Linked DNA regions of Diceros bicornis minor. The protein of the gene in region 3 purifies or fractionates together with the protein of the main gene of each other region. This does not show direct contact. Links are inferred from orthologs where the notes say so. Each region holds a gene or a part of one and is shown on either strand. Other genes may lie near its edges.

Region 1 (7,504 bases), on a different chromosome or scaffold from region 3:
TTCCATCTGCCAAGATCCTTTCTCCAAATAATATAACATTCAAGGGTTCTAAGAATCAGCATGTGGACCTATCTTTTGAGGGGCAACATTTAGCTCCCCTGGGTGGGAGAAGATAGAAAGAAGCATGAAATAGGCCAGTAGGTCAGGATGAGGGGCTCAGAACCCAAGCCAAGAATCAAGTAAGAATGAAGAATGTGGTGACTCCTCTTCTATGTACTTGGGTGGCAGTGGAGGGACAAAGGCGGCACCTGGAAGGATGGGGCCTCGACAACCTTCTGTGTTTGCCTCTTGCCTTTCCCCGCTTCTTCTGCACATCCGTTTCAAAACTAAGCTCCTAGGAGAAATCCACTCTGATTTTTTAAATATTTATTTTATTGTGGTAAGAATACAACACGAGATCTACTCTCTTAACACATTTTTAAGCGTACAATACAGTATTTTATCTATAGGCATGATGTTGGGCAGCAGATCTCTAGAACTTATTCACCTTGTATAACTGAAACTTTACACCTGCTAATCAGCAACTCCCCATTTCTCCCTCCCCCCAGCCCCTGGCAACCACTATTCTAGTCTCTCCTATGAGTTTGACTATTTTAGAAACTTCATATAGGTGGAATCCTGCAGTATATGTCCTTCTGTGAATGGCTTCTTTCACTTAGCGTAATGTCCTCAAGGTTCATCCATCTCGTTGCATAGTGGATTTCCTTTTTTAAAGGCTGAATAATATTCCATTGTACGTATATACCACATTTTTTTGATCCGTTCATCCATCAGTGGACATTGAGGTTGCTTCCATGTCTGGGCTATTGTGAATAATGCTGCTATGACGGTGGAAGTGCGGCTATCTCTTTGAGATCCTGATTTCAACTCTTTTGGATAAATACCCAGAAGTGGGGTTGCTGGATCATATGGTAGTTCTATTTTTAATTTTCTGAGGAATTTCCATACTGTTTTCCATAGTGACTGCACCATTCTGCATTCCCAACAACAGTTTACAAGGGTTCCAATTTCTCCATCACCCTGATTTCTTTAGCTAGTTTCCTTCTTAGGAGCAAAAGTTGATTCTTTGAGCTTCCTGTCCCTAGAGTCACGGTCCTTTTTAGAGCCCCTGAGAAAAAAAATTTTTTTGATGAATTTCTTTCAGGCCACTTCCTACAGTGAAAGTACATGTTCTCCAAGTCCTCCCCTCTTGCACCGTGAATTCTGCCATGGCATGGCCAGGCTTGCAGGGTTTCTATTATTCTAACACTCCCAACCAGGTCTTTTCTATTGGTTAGATCTAGGTGTAATCTAACTGTTCCTTCCTCTCCATCCTTTACCTACTGAGAGATGACACTGTAGTGATGGTAAGTGAAGAATGCACCCAAAAGTCTTGTTTTGGCAGATATCTGGATATGCGTTGTATCAATCAGGATATGCTAATTACGTTGCAGTAACAAACAACCACAAGTCTCCATGGACCACAAGAGCAAAGGTTCATCTCTCACTGCCAGCACACGTCCTTAGTTGGCTGTGCTCCACGTCATCTTTACTCAGGGACCCAGGCTGGTAGCACATTGGAACATTATGGGTTGCTATGGCAGAGGGAAAAGAGAGCATGGTGAACCACATGTTAGCTCTTAAATTTGCTGCCCCGAACCAACACACATTACTTTTCTCAGCTAAAAGGAATCACCTAGCCAAGTTAGTCATCTATAGGTCAACGAACTATAATCCTCCCCCAAGGAGGGGCCATGAGTACCAGTGAACGATAAAACAGACTATCACAGAGGGTCTCTAGTTACTGTATTATTGTGGCAAATCTATGATTCCATGGACCCAGAAAACTGTGGTCTCCCCATTCTGCCCTGCAAGAATTCACATTTCCAGGCACTGGACACCCTCCATGCAGCAAATACCTGCTTACGCCAACTTTCGCCAGTTGGTACGGCTATAAAACCAACCCCTCTAAAGGATGCCACAATGACAAAGTCTGACGACAGCAGAAGTCTATTTCTCACAGCACATGTCTGTCATGGGTTGGTCATCTGGATGTGCAGCATACCCTCTTTTTGATGGAGGCTGCATTTAATGACTTCTGTGAGAGTCCCCAAATAATTCTGAGCTGCCTACATTTATCTTGATTGTATGGAAGGTGCGGTTATAGGGAGCTATATTCAGGAATTCCAACATGCATTACTGTTTTTCAAGAGAAGAGCGCCTGGCCTAATGAATGAAACATTATTACCAATGAAACATAATTTCTGTACTACATCAAACTTGGTAGTTTGTAGTATACTCCCGTGACACTTCTGTTCTTGCTTTTCATCCACATCCCCTCTCAGCTTTATGGGATTTCAAATAGTTACTAGTCCAGTGTCAACTTGTTGCTTTGCTCTTTGAGGTTAAAAGAGAGAGAGAAAAACAGTGAAATCTCATACCCCACGATCTATGGGAAGTCCAATGGCCTCCTCAAGATCTTTGTGACTCTTCTAGGACTTTTATGTACGTGCGGTCACTTGTGCCTTTACAGCTTGATGTTTTGAGTTTACTTGGGTCTCATCTCCACAATCTTCTCTGCTTTTACAGATCCAGACAGAAAACTTACACTTTTTTCCCCAACCTTTTACACAAAAAAACTAACCGCACCAAACGCACTACCCACACAAGGCATTACTCACTGAAGGTTTGGTGTAGCTCAGCCACCCCCTCAAAACTCTTCCCAAAGAACTACTCTCTCCTTTCTTGAACCCCCTCCCTGGGCTCTGGTTTCCCCCTCCTCCCCCTAATTCAATCCTGTTCACTTTATTATGCAGAGCAATTTAACTCTCTTTCCTTCAACTCTGCCCCAGGCTTACCTATGCATAGCTAAAGACCCATTAATGTCTCCATAAAACAAAGGACCATTTATGCGAGACAGAATCCTGGGCAGAGATTTTCTAATTTCTTTTTCGTTTTCTCCCTCTTACTCTGTAGGCAGAAGAAAGCTGTATGGAAATTTATTTTCCTCATACAGGAAGGCTGAAGTGGCTACAGCTGGGTTTTAAATAACATTTTTCTCTCTTCTTTTCAGGTACATGTGTACTTTCTTGACATCTATTTCTGATAAACTTATTTCTTGAACACAGTGGGTCTCAAATTTTGGTCTCAGAACTCCTTTATACTCAAAAGTTATTAAGGGCCCTAAACAACTTCGGTTTATATGGTTTTATGTATCAATATTTACCATATTACAAATTAAAACAAAAATTTAAAATACTCATTCCTTTAAAAACAAAAATAAATCCATTACATAGTAACATAAATGGTATCTTTCTGTGAAAAAATACATTTCCAAAACAAAACAATTTAGTGAGAGCTGCATTGTTTTACGTTTTTGCAAATCTCTTTAAAGTCTGGCTTAATAGAAGACAGCCATTCTGCATTCAGTGTTTTGCAATGTGACAAGGCACACAGCCTCTGGGACACTCAACTGTACACAACTCCTGAGAGAGAGAGTGAAAAGGCAAGTAACATTTTAGGATTATGAAGAGTTTCTATCTTGCCGACCACGCTTTGACAACCACTGTTTTAATACATATTCCAGCGGTGCACCCACTATCAAAAAAACAAACGATGAAATCAATGAGATCTTGAATTAAATCTGAACCTTGAACCAAAACGTACAAAGGACTCACTGGCTACCCTGCAGTCAACTTAAATAACTACCACTTAAGATGGTATATTTAAAAACTATACATCAAGGATGAACAGAAATTCCGCCATTGTCTCCATCTGATAAATTCCTGGTCAGCCTTCAAATCTGCCTTCTCTAGAGTGAGTCTTCTCTATGGAACCCTTCCCCACCATAATTACGAGGACAACAATGTTATTAACAACAGGTATCTAACTTTTATTGGTCACCAGGAGCCAAGCAAAGCCAAAACACTTCACGCGTGTTATCTCATTTAACTCTCAATAATTCTCAGGAAGGTACCGGCTTCGGGGGGCTGAAAGGTGAAAATGAAAGGCCTCCGGTCTCCAGCTCTGTGCCATGCACACCTGCTTGTCCTAGCACGCATTGCATCTAGATGTCACGGTCCACGAACTCCGTCCCGCACAAGGTGCGTCCTTGAGGTCAAAGGTCATGCTGAGTCGCCTCCGGCCACCCGCGGCCGGCTCGCTCCGTGCGGGAGTCTCGAGAAGGGGTCAGCTTCCTGGTCCTCTCGCTCCCGCGGCCCACACGCCCTACACCGGCCCGCGGGGGCGGGGGGTTCGTGGACCTGCCCGCGCGGCCAAGCCCGCAGAGGTGGGGGGTTGGGGGAGAAGGGGCGCGGCTGTGCGCGCCGCGAGGTCCGGGCGCCGCGGGGGTCCGCCACGCGCGTGCGCTGAGGCCGGAACCTTTCTGCTCTGGCCGCGGTAGCCCGGCGGAGGCCGGAACCTTTCTTCTCGCGTCGCGGTTGGCGTGCGGAGGCGTGCGGAGCCGGAACGGTCCGCCGGGGGCCGGGCTCGCGCCGCGGTCGCCGGCTGCTGACGTAGGCCGGCCGGGTCGGGGCCCGTGAGTGCGGGTCGTCATGGCGGTGGACATCACTCTGCTGTTCCGGGCCAGCGTCAAGACCGTGAAGACGCGAAACAAAGCGCTGGGAGTGGCGGTGGGCGGCGGGGCTGACGGCAGCCGCGACGAGCTGTTCCGCCGGAGCCCGCGGCCCAAGGGCGACTTCTCCAGCCGGGCGCGCGAAGTGGTGAGCGGGTTGCTATGGAGACGGCGGGCCGGAGCGGGGGGCGGCCGGACCCCGTCCCGTGCGCGTTGTGTGAAGGCCGCCTGGACTGAAGCGGGGCCCGGAGAGCTGGTCCGGGGGGCCGACAGCTGTCCCGGAAAGGGCGCAGCCTTGTCTCGGGGACTGGGGACGCGCGGTGGGGAGCGCGGAAGTGTGTGGGCAGAGCTCACGCGCTGCTGCGGAGCTGCTGAGCTCGCCGTCGCTGCAGACCTGAACGCCAGCGAAACGCCCCCGCGTTCCTCTGCTTTCCTGTCGCGGCCCTGACCGCGGCGTACTTGCCTCTCCTGTTTACTGGTCTCGGCCCTCTCCCCTTCCCCCGCGTGGAGATCACATGTTGTGTCCAGCTGACCTCTCCCGTCCCCTCGCCTCCTGCAGCAGGTTAGGGCTCATGTTGGGGATCAGTGCGTCTTGAGACTGGTTAAGGATAATCTTTCACAAACACTCCATGTTAGCGTCATCTAAACTACTTCTGTGCCTTGAACACAGCAGGCTTTCGTTCAGGGGAGCAGGAACCTTTTCCTTAAGGGCAGAAACAGTGTTGGCTTCACGTCAGAAGCCCCAGTGCCCGACTCCGACTCATGGCGTTGCTTAGTAAATGTTTGTTGAATGAATGAATGAACAAATGGTTGTCTGTCTTCCCCACTAAACGGGAAACTCTGTAAAGGGAGAGAGAAAATGTTTGCCTCGTTCACTTTTGTATCCTTGGCACCAAGGGTGGATCTAGTTTTTGTGGAGCTTGAAGCTTATGCAGTTCTGCCTGTCCTCTTTAAGAAATGAAAATACAGAATCACAAAGGTTTAGAGCTTTGGGAGGTGTAAACCCTGAAGCTTAAACTTCATTAATTTCGTGGTAAATCCCCTTAAGTTTGGCACACAGTCCAGAGCCTGATACTTTGTAGACACTGAGATATTTTTTAATGAGTGTATGTATGCGTGAATTAACAAGTGGCAGTTTGCAGAGGATATTCAAGCATCAGAAGGGGGACTGGGCCAGATGAATACATTCAGTCCATCAATAAGCATCTGTTAAGCAAGCACCTATTTTTTGACCAGCACTGTGTTAGAATAACATGATTTAAAGGGAATGGTGGGGGAGACCGAGTAACAAAACAAGCACCATACAGCCTTGTAGATGCTGTGTAGGCACAGAGGAGAATGTGGCCAATTCTGCTGGAGGGCCGAGAGAGGCGATAATGTCTGAAACAAATCTCTAAAGAGGAGTAGTTGGTTCCAGTGCAGACAGGGTGGAGAAGGGCGCCTCGGGCTAAGAGAAGAGTATGCACACAAAGATGTGGAAATAGGTCATTTTCATGCTCAATTTAGCTGAATTTATATATACTCAATGTGTGTCTACCCATTAAAGTACCAACAAATTAGACAGTAATGACATTGCAGATTTTTTTGGAGGAACTTGTTATGTGAGCTACTCCAAATGAGGATGAATGTGCCGCTTCGCAGTGTTAATGAATTGGTTGGATAAGCATTTGAGTGTGGCTGATTTGGGGGACACTCAGGAAAACTGGACTGGAGTGGTAGGCAGGGGAAATCTTGAAGGGCCTTGTTTATCACAGTGTGGAGTTTGGACTTTGCCCTGGAGGCAGTCAGATGTTATGTGGTAGAGAGAGCGCTAGAGAAGGGGTGAAGACACCAGGTTGTTGTCTTAACCCTGCGATGATTAGCCATGATCTTATGAAGCAGGTTTTATGGCCTTAGTTTATTTACCCGGCAATAGTCTCCTCCTTTTTTTCCCCCTTAAAAAGCAGAAGACTTTTAAAAAAAACTGCTATGATCTCCGATATATAGCAGATCAAGGTTCTCAGGTTGAAATGAGAGGGAGGGAAACTGGGACTTCTCTGTGCGCCTCCCTCGAGTCTGGCCCAGGCTGTTCCTGAGGTTCCTCCTTTGGAATTGTGGTATGAAGATCACAGTTTTGGTTTTTGGAGGGCCTTTTCTAACCCTGAAATCACTGATTTATTAACACTGTGCTAATTTTGGGTCCTGCTCAGGGATAGGGGCTCTGGGAGTGGCCGAGACGAGAAGCATCGTTGGATTGGCCAGCAGTGAGGAGAGAGCCCTGTGATCACTTAGGCCCCAGGCCTCTCCCTGAGTAGTGAGATGGTACTTTAGGCCTTTGGGTTAATAGGCCTCAGGGACAGTAACAGGACCCTGGGGTGCTGAGTTCCCTGTCACTGGAGGTAATTAAACAGCGGGATGACTGCTCGTCAGAGATGTTTGAGAATAACTCTGTGCTTTTGTCAGAGGGTTAGATGCATGTCACTGAAAGTTCCAGTTCTGGTATTTATTGATGTGGGTAGGTGTTAAGGCTTGGGGAGTCTATTAAGTAGGGACATGGGCTGTGTTGTTCAGGGCCACTGCCCTTCCTGACATAGGGAACACATGCCTTCTTTTGAGGAATTTTGATTTTATGTTGCAATTGCTTTATGTAGTACCTCCTGTTCTTGCAACCATTTCTCTCTCTCATGGAAAGTGTAACTAGTATAGAGCTAGTGAGGGGTGTCCTTTGCTCTTAACCACAGTCAGATGTGTCAGAAGTCTGGCTGTTGTTTTGTTTGGCCTGAATTCCTTATACATAAAAGTCTGGTCATACTAGGAACACATATTCTGGTTCAAGTTGAGCCCTGGTTGTCAGACTTAAGGAAATGTAGCAAGTTATAGTAATGCCTTTTCTTGAATGCCTTCCTTGAAGCATTTATTATCATTTCTAAGATACGTATTACCTAGTTCAATTCCAGTTCTTCTCATTCCTCA
Region 2 (7,580 bases), on a different chromosome or scaffold from region 3:
CCGCTTCTCCGGCCATGCTGAGGCCGCGTCCCACATACAGCAACTAGAAGGATGTGCAACTATGACATACAACTATCTACTGGGGCTTTGGGGAAAAAAAAAAGAGGAGGATTGGCAATAGATGTTAGCTCTGAGCTGGTCTTCCTCAGCAAAAAGAAGAGGATTAGCACAGATGTTAGCTCAGGGCTGATCTTCCTCACAAAAAAATAAATAAATAAATAAAACTGTTTAAAACAACTGTCACTTATGCTAAAATGAAAATATGACTATCTAAATAGAGATATGCCTAAATGCAAAATGTAACTATCAAATATTGTTCAATTCTTTACGTAAAAATTAATAGAATATATACCAGTGTGTTTAATACTGGGTATGTTCCTCTTCCTCAACCCCTAAACAACAAATTTTCCTTTGTTCTAGTCAACTTATAAGAATTAAAAGCTTGTTCATATAAGAACTAGTAGCCCACCAGTAGGTAGAAGCAAAACTAGCATAAGTCTATGCCTCAACTTCCCAACTATAAACTATAACATTTGCCCAGCCTACATTTAAAGGTTGTAAATGGGACTAAAATCCATGTTTCCCTGACTCTCAACCCAATATTCTTATTTTCTTCTCCTTCAAATATGAGCAGAATTGGCTGGTCTGCATCAAACTTCATTGATACAGAAATCCATCTACTATTATGCACCGGAGTCACAATGTCTTTATTTATTTATCTTAAATAAAATGAGTTGTGTGGTGCACCTGCAGATACACAGAAACAGGGCTATGTGCAGAAGGAATGTTTTGTGAATGCTAAGGTTGCTGTAGCTTAGGGAGTAAATTCTATGTTCACTTTTATTTTTAATTATACTCTTTTGATATAACCCTTATCAAATGACATTCTTCAAAATGACACACTGGTGTTTTAGGATGTTTTTATGTCTCTCTTTTTCTCTATTATTTGTAAAGAGCACTCCTAGTTGCAAAGAAGTTGAACAAGCCACTAAAGGAAGGACAAGGACAAAGTCTACAGTCTGCATCTATGATTTTACTAAAATGACAGCTCAGTAGGCATCAACTCTCTGAGCATCTGAACAAGGTAAAGGTGGAAAAGGGAGGGGTTTCACTGAAAGATATGGGGTACTCTCAAATCCTCCAAGGAAAAGGAGCTGAACTGTGGCAGCTACGACTGTCAAGTACTGTGGACTACTCAGAGCTTTCTCTCTGAGGCCGATGGTATCAGTAGACAACGTGAGGGGCAAGCCCAACTCCTAAATCCAATATGGTAATGTAGACACCCTTCTCTTACCACTACTCATTCCCAGACTATTTGTCACGTTCAGCAGATCCCATAACCCTCTGATGGCATAGCTGTTACATGCTTTTCCCCTTCCTCCCCCAATAAATTTCACTTCAAAAGCCCCTGAAGATTCCTTGATTTCCAAAAGCCTGCCATGCCTAGCTTATTAAAGTAAAATGACAAATGTCCACATCTCTGACATACGCTCCTGTCCTAGGCAGGAATTGGAGGTACTGACCTTTCCCCTCTGCCTTGTCCAGTCCAAGACCCAGGATCCAAGCTATCCTCTGTGCTCTTCCCAGATCAACTTTTTTTTTTTTTAATATATATATATATTTTTTTTTTTATTGATGTTTTAATGGTTTCTAACATTGTGAAATTTTGGGTTGTACATTTTTGTTTGTCCATCACCATATACATGACTCCCTTCACCCCTTGTGCCCACCCCCCACCCCCGACCCCCACTGCCCCTGGTAACCACAGTCCAGTTTTCTCTGTCCATGTGTTGGTTTATATTTCACATATGAGTGAGATCATACAGTGTTTGTCTTTCTCTTTCTGGCTTATTTCACTTAACATAATATGCTCCAGGCCCATCCATGTTGTTGCAAATGGGACGATTTTGCCAGATCAACCTTTAATTGCAAATTCACTGAAGGTAAAGTACAACTAAACAACTATCATTTGACTTCTTTGAACCCAATTAAGGAGGCAGTCATCTCTCCTAGATCATTAGCCCCTCCAAATCCTGATGCTTAATAAATTGTTGCTTCATTAAAATAACCGGCAGGCTCCAATTGTTTTGAAGCCAGTCTGACAGGCAGAACTCCAGTAAAACCACACTAGTTCTTGCACAGGGCAGGAGTCAGGAAGTGCTCTTCTCCAAATCATCCCATAGTTTATCATTTTAGAAAGACAAAAATATGTGTATAATGATAATCAGTAAATGCAAGCATATTGTAGAGAAAAAAGATACTTCATCTAAAAGATAACAGGCTAAGACTCTTCTCGGATGCAGACCCTGGAAGGCTGAGTTTTGGCGAGATGGCTGGGTACAAAGCACTAAGGTGTTTGGGGTCGCTTACTTTTCTCCTCGACGTTTTTCCTTTCCTCACCACTTTCAGAGCAGCACTAGAAGCAGAAGAGGCGTGACAAACACATTAAGACTGAAGTGGTAGATGGAACTCATACAGGGCTCCCAGAGGGCATCCACTGGAGGACTGCGAGGTCCCAGGCCCCTTCCCCTGGGGCCTTCGTGAAGGGCCACGGCCGTCTGACGCAGGTTCTAAAACGGGCCACCTCTCTGGGGCCACCACTGCCATCCTGCCCGTCCGCCAGGGCCACCTCCCCACAGAGATCTGTGTCATCTCACCGGGGTCGCCGGAGCCACTGCATAGGGACTACCTCCCCTGGGAGGTCTGTGCCACCTCACCAGGATTGCAAGGGCCACCTCCCCCGGGCCACGGGAACCACGTCCCCAGGTGCCAGGGTCACCTCACCAAGAGAGTCTCCCCTAGGAGATGTGCCACCTCACTGGGCCACCAGTGTCCCCTCCCCGGGCCACCAGCGCCGCCTCACCGGGGTTGCCGACGCCTCGCCGATCTCGCCGGGCGGGAGCATCCCGCCTCTGCGAGAGTCCTCGGCTCCATGCGCAGCCAGCGTGGCTGCGTGGTCCAGCTCCCGCCAGCGACCAGCACCAGCTCCGCCTCGGAGACTGCGGAGCTGAGTGCCACCGCGACTTCCTCTCGCCGTCTCTCTCGTTTCTTCCTCTCCTCCCAGAAAGGCCCTGCCCGCGCCGCCGCTGGCCGTGCGCGGTGGCTCCCCCTGCCGGCCGGGGGACGTCGGCCGCTCCGGAAGAGGGGGGCGATCCTTCTCAACCTCGGTGAAACATACTTCTCCTCGTTGGGGCCCTTAATGATGGAGCTTGAAGGTATCTGTCCTTCCACACCAGAAATTCAATATGAATCATTTCATTTGTATTTTAGATGATATCCCAGACGTTCTGAGAGTGTGAGGGGGCTTGTTGATCAGCTTTAATGTAATTTGGTCGGGCTGTTTACTTGGGGAATTTCCAATGTCGTTATCTTTGGATCATTCTTTTAAGGCTTATCAGATTCAACTAGAGATGACCCTCCAATTGCCTGCGTGGAGGGTCCAGATCTGGTTGTAACCGTTCTGGGAGCTGAATCGAGGAAAAGGACTCGGCATCTAAGAGGCACTTTGCACAGTGCAGAGACCCCAAAACACCTGTTCTTTGCCAGGGAGAAGGAATAGAGTTACCTGGCAGCCAGCAAGGGGTAGGTAGAGCACCCAGGGATTTGACAACTTCAAAAACAAACGCGAAAGGAGATACCATAGAGACTAAATCAAGTAGCGGGGGTGGGGGCAACCCTTAGAAGAAACAGAAACCGTTCAGTGGGGAGAAAACTTGTGTGTGCATTGTGCAAGATGACATGAGTGGAGCCATATTAAAACAGAGCCAGAGCAGCCATTTCAGAGGAATTGCCTTGCATGGCTTGTTTTCTTTTATCTTCAGAACTGGACCAAACCACCAACATTCCAAAGAAGTCTGTAAGGACAAGGATACCTTGTCTGTAAGAACTGGTGGAACTGGACTTTGCTGGTGCCTAAATCGCTAACCAATCAATGAAGTACAAGTTTAGCGTTTTGTCTGATGATTGAACCTCAGGCCAATCTATGAAGTACAAACCCAGCCTTATCTTATCTAGCACCAATGAACTCTTCTTTAATACAACTCACCTTTCCTCCCTTTTTCCCATAAAAACCCTAAGCCCTCTTCTATAATCAGGACACTGTTTGAGTTTCTACCTGAATCTGTGCTCCCAAATTGCAATTCTTTGATCCCAAATAAATGCTTTGCCTCTTAAACTGGTTTCTGTTTTTGTAGATTGACTATATATATATAAAATCAATATCCTGAGATATGAAATACCATTGCAACCATAAAATAATAAGAGGATACTACTGTAATTTATTTATTTATTTGTGAGGAAGATTGACCCTGAGCTAACGTCTGTGCTAATCTTCCTCTATTTTGTATTTGGGACCCTGCCACAGAATGGCTTGACGAGTGGCATGTAGGTCCACACCCAGGATCCAAACCTGTGAACCCTGGACCTCCAAAGTGGAGCACACCAACTTAACTACTATGCCACCAGGCCAGCCCCAGGATACTACTACTGTATTTAAAAAGGAGTGTTCAGAGACAAAATATATGATATCCGAAATGAAAAATTCAATGAAAATGTTCGAAGATAAATGTTGGGAAATATCCTAGGGAAAAAAATCAAAAGGACAAAAAAATGGAAAACAGGAAAAGAACAATAATAAATTAGAGGACCACTCCAGGGAGTCCAAAATCTGAAAAATAAGAATTCCATAAGAAAAAAACAACAGGGGTTAGGGAAGGAGTGAGCATCAACAAAACAATTCAAGGAAATTTCCCTAAACTAAAAGCCCTAAGTTTCCAGACTGAGAGGGCCCACTGAGTCTGCAGCACAATGGATAAAAGTCGACTCACCCCAGGGGCCGGCCCGGTGGCGCAAGCGGTTGAGTGCGCGCGCTCCGCTGCGGCGGCCCGGGGTTCGCTGGTTCGGATCCCGGGCGCGCACCGACGCACTGCTTGGTAAGCCATGCTGTGGCGGCGTCCCATGTAAAGTGGAGGAGGATGGGCACAGATGTTAGCCCAGGGCCGTCTTCCTCAGCAAAAAAAGAGGAGGATTGGCGGATGTTAGCTCAGGGCTGATCTCCTCACAAAAAAAAAAAAAAAAAAAAAAAAAGTCGACTCACCCCAAAGGCTCATCATTGTGAAATTACAGAACACTGGGGACAAAAAGAAACCTGAAGCTTCCAGAGAGAAAAACAGATCACTAACAAAGGATCAAGAATCAGCATATCTTTCAGTTTTTCAGCAGTCACAAAGAAAGCTGAAAGACATGGGAGCAATTCTATACAATTTCAAAAGGAAATTTATTTCAAACTAGAATTCTGTACTTGATTAGTAAACTACCAATGAAGTGTGGGTAAAGAATAAATGTATGTTCAGACATTCAAGATTTCAAAAAATTTCCCTTTCATTTGCTTCTTTCTCAGGAAGCTACTGGAAGTTGTGCTCCATTAAAATGAGGGACTAAACAAAGAAAGTAGAAAACACAGGCTATAGGAAACAGAAGATACAACACGGGAGAAAAATGAAGTATGATACCCTGACAACAACTGTGCACTAGACATCAACTGGTGTAGGTTAGAAGGTTCCAGAAGAGACTCCTTCAGAAAGATGAAACTGATAGAACACCTATCTATCTAAATCTCTGGAGGGAGAGATTTAAATGATCATAAAGAAGTTTGAGCTTGGCTTAGTGATGAATAGTAAGCCAAAATAAGATAATCATTAACTACAGGAAAAACAAAAAGCTGAGCAGAAGAGAAGTAATCATAGTATACTATTTTGCCCAAGATGTGAGCAATGTTTACCTAGTCATAATGAAGTAAACACAAATCTATTTTTTAAAAAAGTACAATATAACTATATCGGGCAGATAAAGGGATGGGAAGTGTGGTGGGGGTGGGGGAACAGATGGGAGAAGGAAGAAGAGCTAAATCCTCATTTTCCATTAGGTGAAGTCAATAGGCAATGCCTAAAAGTGAAAAATGAAGAAATAGCAATACAAACATTTTATATAGAGAAATGAAGGTAAATATCAAAATAACCATTGAAAGAGGTGAAATGACTGCCTTTGAGGAGGGGGAAACAGGTAAGGGGAAGAGTGGAGATACAGTCTCTGCTGTTTCATTGCAAAACTTACAAGGTTTCTACAGAATTGTTTGACTCTAAATCATAGACGTGTATAACTCTGATTAAAATAAAAACTAAAATTAAAGAAGTAAAAAGATTGCTCTAGACTCAAATTTTTGCTTCTGAAGATTTCACTCCCTGGTAAAGGAATTAGACATGAAAATAAATAATTTAAGATTGAGTGTGACACCAAACCTCTTAATCTCAGGTCCCTGTGCCCAGTGCACAGGAAAAGCCAATCACTGAGACACCAGTCCTTGGAGATAGAGACAGGCTTATTGGAATTGGCCAAAACAAGAAGGCAGGAAAGCAAGTTCTCTCAGATCTGCCTTAACAAAAGAAGAAAACAGGGGATCTTTACAGGGCTAAGGGGCTGGCAAGGAGGATTTTCAGGGAAACAAAGAGGAAGTCTGTGTTTCTTTCACTTCAGATAAGACCTTGAGCAACCAGACTTCTTGGTGTCACCGGCAGCTGGGGTCTGGTCATCTGGTGGTCGTGAATTCCTTAAAGGCATTCTTTTACTTCTGCAAAATAAGCTCATAAATTCTCATGACCCTTGAGTCACCCCTTTGGTTAGACAAGAAAACAGCAAGTTAGCAAGCTATAATTACGTGCATGCCATGGAGCAAGCATTTGGACTCCATAAATACATCTAGTGGAGACTAAGGTTATTTATTAACTTCTTTTCATCTGTGGCTGTATTGGGAACGAGGTCGGAACATGTTGGGAACATGTTCTTATGGAATATTTACAGTAACCCTCAGGTACCTGGCTTCAAGTGCAGTAGGTTCAACAATGGAAATGTTTGCAATGACTGAGGGAGCACAGAAAATAGTTACTCTCTGGCGAGAGGAGAGAGGCATCTAAGATGGATGGAATACTAGGCAGTAATATGGACGAAACAAGAGATAAATTGTGTGTGCTGGGCACATAGCAATCCATAGTGCTGGTGTGGAGTTAAAAGCAAGATCCAGAATATTATACATGATATACATGTTAGGATGTATTTTTTTTTGGGGGGGTGATGAGGATTGGCCCTGGGCTAGCATCTGTGCCCATCTTCCTCTCTTTTATATGTGGGACACCTGCCACAGCATGGCTTGACAAGCAGTGTGTCGGTCCACACCTGAGACTCGAACCAGCGAACCCCGGGCTGCCAAAGCAGAGCATGCGAACTTAACCACTACGCCACTGGGCCAGCCTCGTAACATTAAACTGTTAGATGTCTATCAGAAGGAGTTGGAATGGGGAAGAGGCTTTGAACATTTCTGTATTTTTTTGTGTGTGTGAGAGGAAAATTAGCCCTGAGCTAACATCTGTGCCCATATCCCTCTATTTTGTATGTTGGTCGTCACACCACGGCATGGCTTGATGAGTGGTGTAGGTCTGTGCCTGGGATCCGAACCCACGAACCCAGACCGCCAAAGTGGAGCATGGCTGACTTAACCACTATGCCACAGGGACAGCCCTCAAGAAGAT
Region 3 (7,713 bases):
AGTGCGACAGGGTCTGCAGGTGAGGTGGGGAGAGCATCAACAGGACTGGGGCCAAGTGTGGCCTCTCCCTACCACCCTGCAGCAAGTCTGCACCTCTCGGCCCTTGTTGGTGCTGTTTCCTCTGCTGAGAATGCCATTCTTGCTTTCTACCAAACTCCAGCCAGCCAAGCCCCAGCCACAATGCCCCTCTGCTGGGAAACCTTCTCTGATGCCCCAGGACAGAGGCTGCAAAGCTCCCACACTCCTCACACCTGGTTGTCCTTCTTGATGACACTCTGGGCGGCCAGTGTGTTGGTCTTGAGGCTCCGGGCCAGGCCTAGCATCTCCTCTGCCAGCTTCTCCTGGAGGTCCTGGTGTCGCTGCAGGATGAGGTCTAACTCGGCCGCCGACTGCTTTTCATTTCCTGGCCTGGGCCCTGCCACCCCACTGACCCCACACATGGGTGGGCAGGTGGGCACGAGGTGGGGTGGGGGAGGGGAAGAGACCAACACGTTCCCAGGGAGCCCAGAGGCTATAGCTCCGGCCACTGCCCTGCTTGGGGCTCAGTTACCCCTTCTTTGCTCTGGCTTCTGGGAACAGCACCCCCAGAAGTGGCTTCTGATGGGCGGTTTAGATGCTCATGGTGGCGCCTCAGGGGCCCAAGGCTCGTCCAGCCCCCCGGCCCCCAGTGCTGCCCAAGGGCAGAGGACACTCACCTTCTCTTCCGCACGTCCAGCTCGGGCTCTGCAGGGAAACAGGCCCGGCAGAAACGAGAGCGGGTTGGTTTCCTGTTGACCAGCCTCCTGGCCACTGCCCGTCACAGGCCTGCCACTCACAATGCCCTTTCCAGTCCTGTCTGCTGCCTGCTGGGCTCCTGACCATGCCTCAAAGCTCGAGCTCAAACGCGCTCTCTTCTAGGGGGTTCTCCTCACCCCCAGCTGGGCTCCCCCGGCCCCAGGTCCCTCCCTGCAGCCTAACTTTGGCCCGTGGGCTGGGAGTTTCCAGCTTTGCTTCCTCTGGGGGCCACCTCCTCTGTCCTAGCCCCCCCTCTAGGCATAACTCAGTAACACCCCCAGGGACACTCTGCCTGGGCTGTGGGAGTGAGGCCAGGCACCAGGGATGGGGGCAGCAAGGACACATGTCTGGTCCCAGGCAGCTGGGCCTCAAGTCCTGTTCTGCTCAGGCCGACTCACCTCCAGAAGAGTCCTGTGGCAAAAAGGGAGAGCGTGAAGTCACCCACTTTGTCATGCCCCTAAACCTGTCCTTTCTGCTCTCAGACACTCCCCACCCATAGTCAGAGCCCTGGGGAAGTCTCATGACCTCTGAGCCTGTTTTTTAGTCTATAAATCGGTAACAACAGCTCCTGTTGTATAATTTTATTTATTTATTTATTTTGTCCCCCAAAGCCCCAGTAGATAGTTGTATGTCATAGTTGCACATCCTCCTAGTTGCTGTATGTGGGACGCGGCCTCAGCATGGCAGGAGAAGCGGTACGTTGGTGTGCGCCCGGGATCCGAACCCGGGCTGCCAGTAGCAGAGCGCGAGCACTTAACCGCTAAGCCACCGGGCTGGTCCAACAGCTCCTGTTGTGAAGGGTTTACCTGATCCACGTAAAGTGCTCAGAAAGACACTTATCCTGTTTTACAGATGAAAACACTCGTCGTAACCGGACACGTCATTTTTGCCTTGTACCCGACTCCTGTTCATTTATCAAGCCCTGATGGCCCAGGGCGGAGGCTATTGGGCTCCTTAGGGTCCCTGCACCTGACAGTATTTGTTGTTCTGGCCAGCCCCAGGCCCTGAACTCCTGTCGCTGACCAAAGGGCCCTCAGGGACCAGGAGAGTGTCCTACCGCACCCAGCAGCTCATCCCGCATCTCGCTGGTGTACCGGGCCCGTGACTGCAGATGCACTGTCTTCGTGGCAGGTATCCGCTCCCGGGCTGTGGTGGGCACGCGGCCAGGAGCCAGGAACTGGTTGGCTAGTGCCTTGTCGGAGGAGGAGGTCTGAAGAAGAGGGATGAGGGGTCACCAGAGGGGCAGGTCCTGGGGGTGAGGAGGGCTGAGGAGGCGGCCGTCCCCGCTCACCAGCTTCTCTGCCTGCAGCATCCCCTTCAGAAAATCCACCTTGCGGGCATACTCATTGATCACCTCGGAGACCGGTTTGCTAGAAGGCGAGAAGAGGACAAAGAAAACCTGCCCACGGTCCCAGTTCAGGGAAGGGTCCAGCAGGAACCGGAGCCCAGGGCTCTACCCCGACCCCGGATTTGAAACCCCAGTGGCCGCCGGCACTCACCTCGCCTGGGCTTTCAAGGCCTGCAGCATGTCCTCGAGGGCTCCCACGTACTGGGGAGAGACAGCGCAGCGTCAGCCCGGTCCCACACCCCCACTTCTTCCCATCCTGCTCAAAGGGGCCAGAGCCAGCAAGGGGCGGGGCTCGGAAGTGGGAGGGGCCAAGCGTCAAGGAGGCGCGGCCAGCGGAACCCCAGAGACGGGAGCTGCAGGTGGACGTAGCGGCGCCGACCGGAAGGGGCGTGGCCAGGGTGGCTGTTGGGGCAGGGGAGTCGGAACCGGTGGCCGCCAGCTCCGGGCCCACTGTCCCGGAGTCAGGCTCTACGCTGCCCCGCGGGCTTCTCCCACCTTCTCCAGACGCCACTCGTCCGGGTCCCTCTTCTCCGCTGCCATCGCCTCGCAGCGGCACAGCAGCCGCACCAAGTTGAGCTCCAGCCTCGACGCTGCCATCACCCCCACGGTGCTACCTCGCCCCTTCCGCCGGCGCCATCTTAAGAGATGGCGGAAGTGCCTTCATTTGGCTTCCTTCCGGTTGGATGAGCTCAGCTCGCTCGCCGTTCCATCTTTCTTTGGGGTGGCAATAATATTTTATTTCAAGGAGAGGCGCCATCCTCGTCCATAGTTACTCAGGGCTGAATCGCCTGCTTTTCCTCCAGAGCATCTTAACCCTCAGGAATGGTTGAAAGGACCAGGTCCTGCGGTTTCAGGCCCACGTACAACGTGTCCTTTGCTCATTCCTTTCCCCCTGCTCAAAGTGCCTCCCCCACATCCACTGCTGCCTGGATTCTTCCCACACTGAGGTTTTGCGCATCCGGCCAGCCTTCCCCGACTTCTTCCGGGGGAGAGGCCCTGGGCTGGCTTAGGGGCCCATCCAATCTTCTGCGGTTGTGAGCTTCCGGGCGCCAGACTCCGTCCCCCGCTGTTTCTGGGCCTGTTTCCTCCCTTGGGGAATGGGGAGTGGGACAGTGCCTGTCTCAAGGGGCACACGAACTAGCCCTGCGAGCAGGAGGCGGGGCCGGGTCACCCCTAACGTTCAGACCCCCGTGAAGAGAAGCCAGTTCCAGCCCACCCAGGTGCCCAGGAAGCCGAGGCCAGTCCCACGAGCCCCGCTCCTGGAGTGGACGCGGTGAGGATGGAGGCTTCACGGGATCGGAGCCTGGCATGCAGCCCTCAGGTCACCGGTGTCCTGGTCACACTGGTGTGCCTAATGTCCTCGCAAAGTACCACGGAGGAGGCCAAACCCAGGATGGATAAAGGGGGCTCCAGAGGCAGATGGGCAGGGTCTGAACCCCAGCCCCACCCCACCGCACCTGTGTGGTCTTGGACAAGCCCCCAACCCTCTGGCATGTGCCGTCTGGACTCAAGTTCTTCACGGTCCCCTGACCCCACCCTCACAGGCCCCACCCGCGAGCCACGTCCCCCACCTGCCCATCTGATCGCAGCCTGGGAGCTCATCTGCGGCTGATGTGTGGGGGCCTCTGGCTCTGCCGGCCCACCAGGAACAGACTCCCCCCCTGGCCCATGGCCCTGCACCTGACGCTTACGCCCCAGCTGAGGAGAGGCTGGTGCTGAAACAGGGCGACAGGAGGCAGCCCCCAGGACAGCAGGCTCCCCTCACTGAATGCCACTCTGCAGGAGCTGCCCTCTCCCCAGATGTCCAGGTCAAGCACCTCCACAAGCCCACCTGCCCAGGTGAGGAGCACGTGGGAGATCCCAACAGCAGCATTTGCTGAGGATCAAGGCAGGTTCTTCCAGACAAGGGGCACAACCCCCTGCCCTGCACCCCTCTTGGCAGAGGCTGCAGGGTGCCCCCACCGAAGCCCCACTCCTCCAACCAGGAGTGTTTTGAGCAGGAGCCACACACAAATCTCTCAGGCGCTTTGTCTTTATTTCACACGGCTCTGGGTGCCTCTTGTCCCAGACCTGTGGTCATGTGTCCAGGGGATACATGTGTCCTGGGGAGTGGGCCAAACCTGAGGGCATCCCTCTGGAGATCCCCAGGCTGCCACTGTTGACCTGAGGGGGACAACACAGGCCTTGCCCTCCCCGCCGGTGAGCGGTCCTGAGTCGCTGGCTCCTGTTCTGCCACACGGTGGAGGTGGGGGGGGTGGGGGCAGTGCCAAGGGTGCCCTCCTCCAGCCTCTGGAGTCCAGGATGGGCAGAGGATGACGGCCACATTGGAGCCTCCCTGGGACGTGAGGTCTGTGGTGCCCCGGGTGGAGGCTGCTCCCCCCCGCTTTGTGTCCTGGCTCAGCCAACAGCCTTGATCCCCACGGAGGGCTCTGGCGCTCCCTCAAATGCACCCCGGCCAGAGGACGAGTCCAAGAGAGAGAAAGGCGGTCATGCGGCCCGAGTGTCTAAACCCCTCGTGCAGGGTCCTGGCCCTGGACCGCCCAGAGCGCTCCCAGCGCAGGGCTGAGCCTCTGAAGCGTGGCGGCTGCGTGGGCTTAGCTTTGAAGACTGATGTCCAGGTTATAAAGGAGATGCAGCGCGTTAATATAAAAGGTCGTACAGACACATATAAAAAACAATTTGGTCTTCCGTTAAGGCTGTTACAGTTTAAAGTTATGTAAACCACGCACAAAAAAACAGTTACTGTAAAAAATTACAAAATGGGAGGTGGGAGATGCTAGGTGGCCCGCCGTGATTCCGTGCTCTGGGTGGGCGCGATTGCGCAGCGTGGAGGCTCAGCGAGGGCGGCCCAGCCTCAGCTGGCCTCTCCCGGCCTCGACCCTGCACTGGGAGCCGTTGCTCCCCCCCACATCGCTCTTGCAGCTTTTCATTCCGGATCCTTCTCGGCGAGCTGAATGCTGGCTCTGGGCTGTCCTCGGACATGTGGACAGACGGCTGTGGGCCCTCAGCCGTTGGCCTGGCCCGAGGTGGGGGGCAGGCAGTAGGTGGGAGGGTCCGAGTACCTTCGCTTGGCCCCAGGTGGCCGGTCGTCCTTGTCCACGGGCTCCTGAGCACCCCTCGCGGGCAGGTGAGCGCAGGGCGTGATATACACAGAGTGTACCTGGTCCGGGCGGCGGGCGGGTGGCTCTCGGCGTCTCACCGGGGCAGCAGCCTCCTGGGGCCCCGGCGCCCGGCTGGGAAGGTGGGAGGGCAGGCCAGGTGGGAGCTTGATGTTCGCCGTGGGCATGATGGGGGTCCGCCGGGGCGTCTTCACTCTGACCGTCATGAAGGACGACGGCCTTCGTCGCGGAGGGGCGGCCGCCGTGGGGAGGGGGCTCGGGGTGGGTACACTGGGGCAGGGGAGAGCAGGCGCAGGGGGCCCTTTTGAGAGACAGATGGCAGGGTTACTGCAGCTTCAGGGCCGCCACATGGTCCCTCGCCCCGGGGCCGGCGGTGGTGGACACGGGAAGGAAAAAAGCAGACGCTACCTTAATACTGACCTTCCGAGGCCCCCCGCCCAGCCCGCTCCTCCAACAGGCTCTCGGTGCTGGCCGACGTCTCCGAGTCCAGGTTCTCCTCATCGGAGCCCCGCGGGTCCAGCTCCGGCAGCCGGTAGGTGATGTCCTCCCTGGGGAGGAGGTCACAGTGTCCGAGGCTGTTCCCATGGCGAAAGACCACCCCACGGAAAGTGCCAGGCTGGTAGGGTACAGAGCAGGCCGTCCTGGTCCTGGATGGTACTCCCTGCCCCCAGCACCCCACTTCCACCCCCAAAGCACACCTGGCCCAAATCACCCCGGCCCTGTGAAGCTGACGGGAAGAAGGTGTCCGGCTGCTGAGGGAAGCCAGGCACCTGGGCCAGGACTGAGCTGGTGAGGAGCTTCTGCCTCAGGACCTTTGCACGTGTTTCCCTCCACCTGCATTGCCCTCCCCTGTTCCTAAGACTAGGGTGACGGGGCGGCCTGGGTCACTCCTATTCTCTTGGCAGCATTTTTAATAACACCCCCCTTCACATCTTGACTGGACAACAAATTAGTCACCCTAACTAAGGCCAACTTCTGGACAAAGTCTGGGCATCACCCCTCTGTCGCCTCAGCTCTCCCACGGTGTGGGTCACCGTGGTTCCCTGTGGTCAAGCATGGGGTTTCAGGACAGCGGCACCCGTTGAAGTGGGTCCTGGACGATGCGAGGAGCCTAGCCTGGCAGCCTCTAAGGGCCAGGCTCCCTGTGGTGGAGGGCGCTGGAAGGGGATGGAGGAACACTTGCTTCTCTTCCTTGATGGACTGGATCCGCTCCATGAGCATCTCCTTCTCGCGGTCCTCGTCGCCACCGGCCACCTCCTCCTCTGGCAGCACGTCCAGCTCCTCCAGGCCGCCGCTGCTACTCACCCGGGCCTTGGGGCTCTTGTTCTGCAACAGAGAAGCAGCAGGTCTGGCCGGCCCCCTGGGCTGGCAGAGAGGGCGGTGTGAGCGGCCTGGGAGATTAGTTCTGACGTGGACAGTGGGCTTAGTGAGGCTTCTCCAGGGTCACGCGGGGAGGGGGTGGCCGGCGCTCTGCTGGTTAGTCGTCCTTCTCACACAGGTGGTCAGCAGGCACAGGCCTCCCCCAGCATGCACTTCGGAAAGGTCAGGACACACTAGGTCTATCCTACAAGGGCCCTGGGCCAAGGGGAACCCCAGCATGCACCGCTGGGGGAGACATGCAGGGCGGCTGCTAAGCGTGTACATACCAGCATCGCCTCATAGGGAGACGAAAACCCCAGTTTGAGAGGCCATGGCTGGGGGAGAGATGAACAGAGGGTGACCACTGGGGGCCACTGACCCTGACAAAGGTGTGCGTCAAGGACACCGGGCCACATCTGACCGCAGGGACAAAGATAAGGGTCCTCCCACAGTAGCCCAGGACCCGCCCCCACCCGCTCCCCCACCCCCCACTCCCTAGTGTGGAGCCACTTCTGCTGTGGGAACGTTTCCTTGTGGGCGGGGGCCCAGGTCAGCAAGGGATGGAGCTGAAGAATGACCCGAACCACTGCCAAGAGAGTGACAGGTCGCCCGCTGCCCTCTGAGAGGGGCGTTTGCCTGAGGCTGGGAATGGGCCTCTAACCCTGCTGCCTTGAGGCCCCTGGCCAGGCTGCCTGTGGCCAAGGGTGTGGGGAGTCTGAGGGGTGGAGACCGCGCCCAACCCCCGAGTCCCGCCCACATGCTCACAGTGTTCTGTCGCAGGAGTGAGAGTCTCCGGATCGCCATGCTCTCTGCTGCCTCCAGCTGGTTGATCTCCTCCATCTTCACCTTGTACTTCCTCATCTGCTCCTTGATCAGCATCTCCACACACCTGTGGAGAAGGCAACTCAGTTACCCTCCCAGGGATAGTGGGTGTAGGGGCCCCTGCATCCAGGGAGGCGCTAGCTGGAGACTGGGGAGCAGTGGCTGAGCAGAGACCCATCTAGAGACCAGGCAGGGCCAAGGACACGGCTGTGGCTCCCGTCTCGGCCCCTCTCACTCATTGTGTGACCTCAGGCAGCTCACTCCACCTCTGAGCTTGAGTCCCTACCTCAA
Region 4 (7,827 bases), on a different chromosome or scaffold from region 3:
TTTACGAAAAGAGACCCCAGAGAGCTAGTTCACCTCTTCCACAAAGCAAGGACACAGTGAAAAGCCAGCTATCTATGAGGAAGTGGGCTCTCACCAGACACCAAATCTACCCGGCAGCATGACCTTGCACGTCCCAGCCTCCAAAACTGTGACAAATAAACTTCTGTTGTTTATAAGCCACCCAGTCTACGGTATTTTGTTATAGCTGCCTGAACAGACTAAGACAGATCCCCATTAATATCCTCAATGCTCTCTACCACCTCCTCACGTGCAAGCCCTTTCTCGAGACTGGGCCTCATCCCTGTTCAGCGTCACCTCCTCCTTCTGCCTGTTCTAACTACGTGCTGACACGGAACTCCCCGTGTGAAGCGTGCACACACTGAGCTTCATGCATCTGGGCCTTGCTCAAGCTGGCCCTTCTGCCCAGAGAAGCGCTCCCCACCAGAGGGCACCCCCAGAACCCCTGTTCATGCTCCCAGATGGAGGCCTCTCCTCTGGGGAGCCATCCCTGGTCCATCTGGATCTCGGTTCCCCATCATTCCGGGTAGAACCTCCCCTCACGCTACACCTCTGTTCGCACAATTCCCGCTGCCGAGCACTCTCTCCCAGGCCCCCACTCCACAGGACTAGGACTTGCTAGTTTTAGGGTTCCTCGGGGCCCAGCTCGCTCCTAAGAGCCTTCCTCCAGTTCAGGCCGCTTCCTCTCAACTCAGGAACTTCACACACATGATATAATCTAAGCCTTAGTTACCTTACAATTTTGCTTTACTAGCGTTTGGCAAGTGTTACTCTTGCCTTCCCAACCAGATGGCATGTGTCTCGCGGGCTGACTTAGCTGCTCCCTCCAGCCACTGACCAACAGGACACTAATTCCCAGTCCAAAGGGACCCGACACCAAAAACCACCCAGGGAAACTATCACGGAAAACTGAGCTCTCGGCCCCACCCCAAAACACTGCACTTGAACTTCTCCCCTTGTGAGGGAAGAGGAAACACACACATACCCTCTCTCCACTCTCAGCCTCTAAAATAAAACACTCCCCACCTAATCAATACAATCCATGAGCCCCGGATGCCTCTCCAGACCAGATAACTCTCAGCCTTGTTATTCAAGTTCTTTTGCTAAACATCATCCAACATCAAATAACAGGCTGCTCCGTCTCCTCTCCTGGAAAGAACCTTCTTCATTTCTCACCAATCTCCTAACACTGTCTCTCCGTATCCTCAGGCCCTCCTCCCAGACCCCTTCCCTAGCCTTCTGGCAGATTCTCCCAGGCCGCAGCCTTCCCCAGTCTCTGCCTCTCTCTGTCGCCAGACTCCCTGCCCACCTCCACCACAGTTCTTCCTAACTCTCTACAGACCCACCACTCCCTCTCCAGTTCTCCTCCCAGCCCCAAAGCAACACAACCCCCTCCAGTCCTCCCTTCTTCCCCTCTTCTCCCTCCGCCCCGAGCCTCAAGCCCCTTCCCCCAACTCTGCTAAGTCCCCATGGCCCAGAGTCCCTTTCCCACAACCTGTCAGCTCCCCCTTCCTCCTCCCACTCAGTCTCTCCCTCCTCTGACCCCTCTCAGACATCCCCCTGGGCTCCCACCCTGATCCCCACCAGAAGCGTACAGGCTCCACACCCGCTGCCTTCCTGGAAGCGACGCTGATGACAGCTAAGACTCTCAGGGCGTTAACCATGTGCCAGGCTCAGTTCTAAGCGCTTTATGTGCACTCTTACTCAATACTAGCAGCAAATACCTGACATAGGTTTTACTAGTGATCCCCTTTAACAGGGAAATCAAACAACTTACCCAAGGGCATGAAGTCAGTGACAGAGCCACACTTCAAACCCAGGCTTCTGACACTCCTAAGCCACTAAAATTCCTCGGAGGACGGTCATCAGAACTAGTTTACAGGCTAATGTGAGTCTGATGGGAAATGTCTACCAGACTGCAGGCGCTCGTTCTGTCTCCCAGCCCCGCTCAGGCCCCCCTCTCAGCACACCAGTCATCCCGCGCACACGCCCCATCCCTACTCCATCCTTACACAAAAAGCTTTCCACTCCTTTGGCTTTCCCTCTCCCTCATCTCTCCTCTTTCTCTCTCCATTTCCTAAACCAAGCCGGCTTCACTCATCCCCCTACTCCACATCAGTCTCCAGCCCCGTAGCCCGGGCCTCCTCGGTAGTAACTCCGTCACCCCGGGGGATTCATTCTTCTGCTCAGCTCTCACACGACTGTCAGGTCCTCTTACACCATCACCACCACCCAGGGCCCCACTCGTCCCGGGCACCTCCCACCCCCCAGGATCCCCTCACCCAACCACCCCGAGTTCACCCAAACCCCCCGCCCCAGGCCTTGGGAAGGCCGATCCCTGGGGCAGGTGTCCCCAGTCCCCGGCCCCACCACGGCCGTCTGGGACCCTTCAGACAGGCTCTCCAGAGCTCCAAAGGCGACCCGGCTGCTCCCCTAGGCTCCCTCAAGCCCTCAGGCCGGGTCCCCGCCCAGGCCTCACAGTCCTCTGGCCCCTTGGCCCGTCTTCAGCCTGGGTCCCCTTTCCGTCCCAAGATGGTGTCGCCTCGGCCCGGGTATCCTCAGCCCAAGGCCCTTCCGCCATCCCAGACCGTCTCTCCTCACACCGTGTCGCCACAGCCCGGCCCTCAGCCTGCGTCCCCTCCGCGGCCTTAGACCCTGTCACCAGGCCCCGGCATGCCCTCGTCCCGACCCGGCCGCCTCTAGGCCACGACTCCTTCGTCCTCTCAGCCTCGCTCCCGGCCGCCCCTCCGCGCGGCTCTCACCCGAAGAGGCCCGAGAAGAAGGACTGCGAGTTCTTCACTTTGCGCTCCGCCTCGGCCAGCAGCGCCATCGCCTCCGCCTCCTTCCCGGAGTTGTCCATGGCGGCCGCAGGAGTGCTCAGCAACCCGCCCGGGCACGGCCCTCCGAGGACTCCGCCGTCGCCGGGTCGCAGAGACGGGTCGGGGGAGCTCACAGGGCTGCGTTGACGTCGCACCGCCGCGCACCCCCAGCTGCCCCGGACCACGTGGCTCGCGCTGGCCAACCAGCGGCCTCGCAGCTCGGCGCGCGCCCCGCCGGCCCCGCCCCCACCGGCCACTGCACGCCGCCCCGTGACTCACGGCCTCCAATCGGCGACCCCGGGCTTTGACGCATGCGCACACGTCCGCATAGGGCGCCCCACTCTCTTCCCGGTGCAGCGTACGACTGCCCACGTGGCTCTGCATAAGCCAATGGTAGTCCCCATCGTCAAGGTCCCGCCCCGAAGTGCTAGTTTTCTGGATCCTCCTCCACCAATCAACAGCAGCCCTGGGTCGCGTCGTACCTCTGCGGAGAACTTGGGATCTAGTCAGCTGACCGCTGGCCCTCACGTGACAGTGCCCGGCCCCTGCCGGGAAACACGCCCCGCCTGGGTTTGACAGTTCTCTGGCGCAGCGTTTAGTCCCCGCCCCGGCTCCTGGTCGCGCGTCCTTCTTCTCTTGGGAAGGCCTCTGTGGTAGGAAGGAAACCGTTCTGCCTTTTCTGGCGCCCTCTGCCGGCGGAGGCTGAAACTGGCTTGGGAAAGCCAGTGAAATACTTGAGAGACGGGAACAAAACGGAGAGCGGAGGTTCTCCAACTGTGGTTTCATGAAAAAATAGCTGGAGAGAGCCTGTTAAAAATTCAGGTTTGAGCATGCCTAGTGCCCACATCTTAGTTTTTAATACCCTTCTCCAATAAAAGGAACCAGGGCTCCTTGGATAAATGGCTGGTTCTAGGACTGGGCAGGAAATTACACAAGATGAGCCTGGAGCATCTTGTAGCGCCAGAAAGAAAGCGTCGCGTGTGAGCGCTCTCTCACTCTCACACACACACGACGAGGTATGTCAGAGAGACACAGGAGCCAACTGAAAGAGCTCCCAATGGCCAAAGCTGGAACAATTTGACCAACAAAATAAAGTAGTATTGGATTATAACCCAGTGTATAAAATACCCATGAGCCCATGCTGATATAAATGAATAAATAAATGAGAGAGAATACACAAATATTCTGTGCAGAAGAATTCCAAATAGTTTATGTAAATACACCTTCAAGAAGGTGGAGCTGGGCCTGCCCCGCCCCGTGGCTTAGCGGTTAAGTGCGCGTGCTCTGCTACTGGCAGCCCGGGGTTCGGATCCCGGGTGCGCACCTACGCACCGCTTCTCCAGCCATGCTGAGGCCGCGTCCCACATACAGCAACTAGAAGGATGTGCAACTATGACGTACAACTATCTACTGGGGCCTTGGGGAGAAAAAGGAGGAGGATTGGCAATAGATGTTGCTCAGGGCAGGTCTTCCTCAAGAAAAAGAGGAGGATTGGCATGGATGTTAGCTCAGGGCTGATCTTCCTCACACACACACAAAAAAGGTGGAGCATAGCTCTTCATGTGTGCTAAGTGTGGCCTGTGCACAGTGATTTCCTTCCACCCAGTACAGTATGGGAAGGGAGGGGGGTGGGGACCAAGTTTACGGTGAAGAAACCTGATGAACACTGTCAGCCCTTGACTGAGGATAATGTCAGCGTGGTGAGTCACGTTGATAGTGTGAACCCTCAACAACATGTGGTGAAAAGGGCACTTCACCTCTGCGGTCTTCCTCCCAGCTTAATCATGGGAAAAATATCAGACAAATCCCACACGAGACACATTCTTCAAGATATCTGACCAGGACTCCTTAAAAGTCATCCAAAACAGGTAAAGTCTGAGGAACTGTCACAGCCAAGAGGAGCCTAAGGAGACATCACTACCAAATGTAATATGGTGTCCTAGGTGGGATCCTGGAACAGAAGAGGGGCATTAGGTAAAAACTAAGGAAATGTTAATAAAACATGGACTTTAGTTAATAATAATGTATCAATATTGGTTCATTAGTTGTAACAAATGTACCATACTAATGTAAGATGTTAATAGTAGGGGAAACTGGGTGCAGGGTATATGGGAATTCTATCATCTTCCCAATTTTTCTGTAAATCTGAAAACTATTCTAAGAAAGCTTCTTTAAAAAACTTCCAGTTCTAGGGCCCTACCCTCAATGATTCTGATTATAATAGTCCGTGTCAGGGACTGGGTATGGTATATGAGCTTTTTTTAACAGGACCCCCAGATGACTAGGATGCAGATAATTCCGGGAACACCAGTTGAGAAAACGCTGTATCTGGGGATGGGAGCGGGGGCGGGCTGAGGGGGGGTAATTCACAAGAAACCTTCCCCCAACTCTCTTCTTACATTCAGAGACTCTCCTGGACCACCCACTTGTGGTTGCCACTGTATTCCGACCACAGATCAGGTTGGGGGTGAGTCTGGATCACCACAAGCAGTTTCAGTTCCGTGTCCCTCTAAGCAGCACTATTATAAAAGCTTCTGTTTGTTTTAAGCTGTTAAATTTCAGGGTAATTTGTTATGCGGCAATAAACTAATATACCGCTGAACCCTTTAAGCCAGAGTCTTTCCTTTCCAGAGTCATCAAGCTTAACCTGTTATGCAGGGTGGGACCTAAACAATAACAGCGATAGCATGAGCGCTCATCACACAGTAGCTGCTACATTCATATGGTGCACCCTGCCAAACACGTAATTTACGTTTTCTCATTCCACAGATACGTGGGGGGTGAGCATTTTCCACCCCATTTTACAGAAGGAGAAAACTGAAGCTCAAACAGGGAAAGTGACTTGCCCAAGGTCACAAAGAAGGAAGAGGCACCAGAATGTAAATTCTGGTTCATCTGATGCCTGAGCCCTTTCTCTTAACCGCAATGCCCCAACTGCTTCAAACTCTGCTTCCTCCCCTGCCCCTCCCCCCTCCCGATCTTCAAGATTTACTGAGCTAAGTGTGGCCCCTCTGTGAAAGCTCCTGACACTACCCTCTCCCCGCTCCCCCGCCAGTCTGTCAGAACACAGCATGCACTATTACAGACGCGGTCACACCTGGGTGCAACCAATCCTCTGACTGTCTCTCTTCCCCACCTGAGGTGATGGCATCTACTCAGCGGCTCAGACCCAAATCTACCAGGCCAACCTTGACCCGTCCTTTTCCTTACCACCTCTCCCCGTGACGTGTGACCCGTCAACAAGTCCGAGTCTGCTTCTAAGATGCATCTCTCATCCTCGCATTTCCGTCCCTCTTCATTGCTACCCCAGGCCACCAGCACCTTACCTTAAAGCCTTCTATCTACCCTCCAGGCCAGTAATCTTGCCTCCTACAACCTCCACACAGCAGCCAGCCAGTTCTCTAACACCCTCTGCTAGTCCCCTCGGCAGAGCTGGCACTGTGCCGTGCCGTGGCCTGGAACCCAGATCTCCTTCCCTGGCCGTCCACCTAACACCAGCTGCCACTCTCTGCTCACTCCCTGGGACTCGGCGCCCTGCTTTACTTTCTTCACATCACGTTGTGGCAGTCACAAGGTCTGCCTCCCCAGGAGCCATTCCTGCCTCCTCTTCTCTTCCTGGCAAACGGAATGACAGTTTTGACCAGGTGGCATCAAACTTGAGGGAGCACATGGCTTTTTCCTAGTCCTGAAGACAAATCTTTTTTTTTAATATTTTTATTTCATCAGGGTTCCTCTTTTTATTTTTATTTATTTTTTTGGTGGGGAAGATTGGTCCTGAGCTAACATCCGTTGCCAATCCTCCTCTTTTTGCTTGAGGAGGATGGTCCCTGAGCTAACATCTGTGCCCATCTTCCTCTACTTTGTATACGGGGCACCGCCACAGCATGGCTTGATGAGCGGTGCATAGGTCTGCGCCTGGGATCCGAACCTGTGAACCCCAGGCTGCCGAAGCGGAGCGTGCGAACTTAACCACTATGCCACTGGGCCAGCCCTGTGGAGGCAAATCTTGAATGTCTAGGGTAGCTGTGGCCATCTCCCTCCTCACTGCTGGGGATCAGTTTAGAAACAGCATGGCTTACGGTTCTGGCTGGTAAGACCTGAGGGGCCTTCTGCTGGCGGCTGCTACAGGCTTTCCTCATTCTTAAAGAGGGGCACAAGGAAGGGAGGGACGTGCTCTCCTCCCTGCACTCCCAAGGTTCGGATGCTGGTGAGGGAGGAGGGATTCTTGCTGCTGCCGCAGCCAACACACTGAGGCTGGCCGCTGCTGGGAGGCCTTGATTTCCTGGCTGAGCCGCTGCCCACCAGACGTCCTGATTGCTTAAACCTGCGCTGACTCTTCTGTTACTGGTGGCCAAAAGCATAGCCACGATCAGTGTCTAAAATCACCTTCTCGCTGTATTTATTACTGCTACCTTCCCAGCCCCAAAATGCAAGCTCCGTGAGGACAGGGGCTTTGTCTCTCTGTCGTCACTGTGTCCCGGTCACGTGGATTGGGCACCGTCCAGCACGTCCAACAGCAGGCACTTGCTGAATGAACGAATGGCCCCCAGCTCCTTCAGGGCAGGACTCGGCCTACTCTCTGTGGTTCCAGCGAGCGGCAGGCGCTCAAAAGCCTCTGCTGGATCAACGGGCCAGGGAAGCCAGAAGACAGCTGCTCAAGAACCCAATTTAATAAGATTTACAAGTCGACACGTACAAAAAACCTAACAATGTACAAGTCACTGCAAGACCAGGGACGGAATCCGGAATGCAGAGAGACTCCCCGGCTGAAGGGGACCCAACAGGTCGGAGATCTGAAGGTATTTTCCCAGTGATTCTCTACGTCTTGGCCTTATCTAACAAATGTAACCAAACCCCCAAACTGAGGCTGAGATTTAAGAGCTACCTGGATCTAACTTGTTCCCTCCCTGAGCCTCCCTGCTGTGGGAGGAGTGGAATTAAAAGAAGGGGAGAGACTATTAGCCTAAAGAGGATGAAGCCTCCGGCACCA

Evidence for each region.
Region 1: the proteins of USE1 (region 3) and STX18 purify together in Homo sapiens (co-immunoprecipitation; 4 studies listed by BioGRID and IntAct, counting the BioPlex papers as one, with this or other methods). This does not show direct contact. The link is inferred for Diceros bicornis minor from reciprocal best matches to the Homo sapiens genes USE1 and STX18.
Region 2: the proteins of USE1 (region 3) and RINT1 purify together in Homo sapiens (co-immunoprecipitation; 3 studies listed by BioGRID and IntAct, counting the BioPlex papers as one, with this or other methods). This does not show direct contact. The link is inferred for Diceros bicornis minor from reciprocal best matches to the Homo sapiens genes USE1 and RINT1.
Region 4: the proteins of USE1 (region 3) and NAPA purify together in Homo sapiens (affinity purification with mass spectrometry; 3 studies listed by BioGRID and IntAct, counting the BioPlex papers as one, with this or other methods). This does not show direct contact. The link is inferred for Diceros bicornis minor from reciprocal best matches to the Homo sapiens genes USE1 and NAPA.

What each region holds. Positions count from the first base shown.
Region 1 is NC_080747.1:6,965,645-6,973,148, forward strand, and holds the start of STX18 (syntaxin-18), read left to right. Parts: upstream 1-4,489; 5' UTR 4,490-4,532; coding exon 4,533-4,700; intron 4,701-7,504. UniProt on the Homo sapiens protein: Syntaxin that may be involved in targeting and fusion of Golgi-derived retrograde transport vesicles with the ER.
Region 2 is NC_080742.1:12,722,136-12,729,715, forward strand, and holds the start of RINT1 (RAD50-interacting protein 1), read right to left. Parts: upstream 3,016-7,580; 5' UTR 2,906-3,015; coding exon 2,864-2,905; intron 2,417-2,863; coding exon 2,371-2,416; intron 1-2,370. UniProt on the Homo sapiens protein: Involved in regulation of membrane traffic between the Golgi and the endoplasmic reticulum (ER); the function is proposed to depend on its association in the NRZ complex which is believed to play a role in SNARE assembly at the ER.
Region 3 is NC_080759.1:5,216,125-5,223,837, reverse strand, and holds the start of USE1 (vesicle transport protein USE1), read right to left. Parts: upstream 3,013-7,713; 5' UTR 2,720-3,012; coding exon 2,618-2,719; intron 2,324-2,617; coding exon 2,274-2,323; intron 2,145-2,273; coding exon 2,066-2,144; intron 1,985-2,065; coding exon 1,832-1,984; intron 1,186-1,831; coding exon 1,173-1,185; intron 724-1,172; coding exon 696-723; intron 427-695; coding exon 252-426; intron 14-251; coding exon 1-13. Other genes in the region: MYO9B (unconventional myosin-IXb), read right to left, coding at 5,127-5,542, 5,662-5,785, 6,421-6,567, 6,888-6,935, 7,366-7,489.
Region 4 is NC_080773.1:22,906,885-22,914,711, forward strand, and holds the start of NAPA (alpha-soluble NSF attachment protein), read right to left. Parts: upstream 3,008-7,827; 5' UTR 2,879-3,007; coding exon 2,781-2,878; intron 1-2,780. UniProt on the Homo sapiens protein: Required for vesicular transport between the endoplasmic reticulum and the Golgi apparatus. Together with GNA12 promotes CDH5 localization to plasma membrane.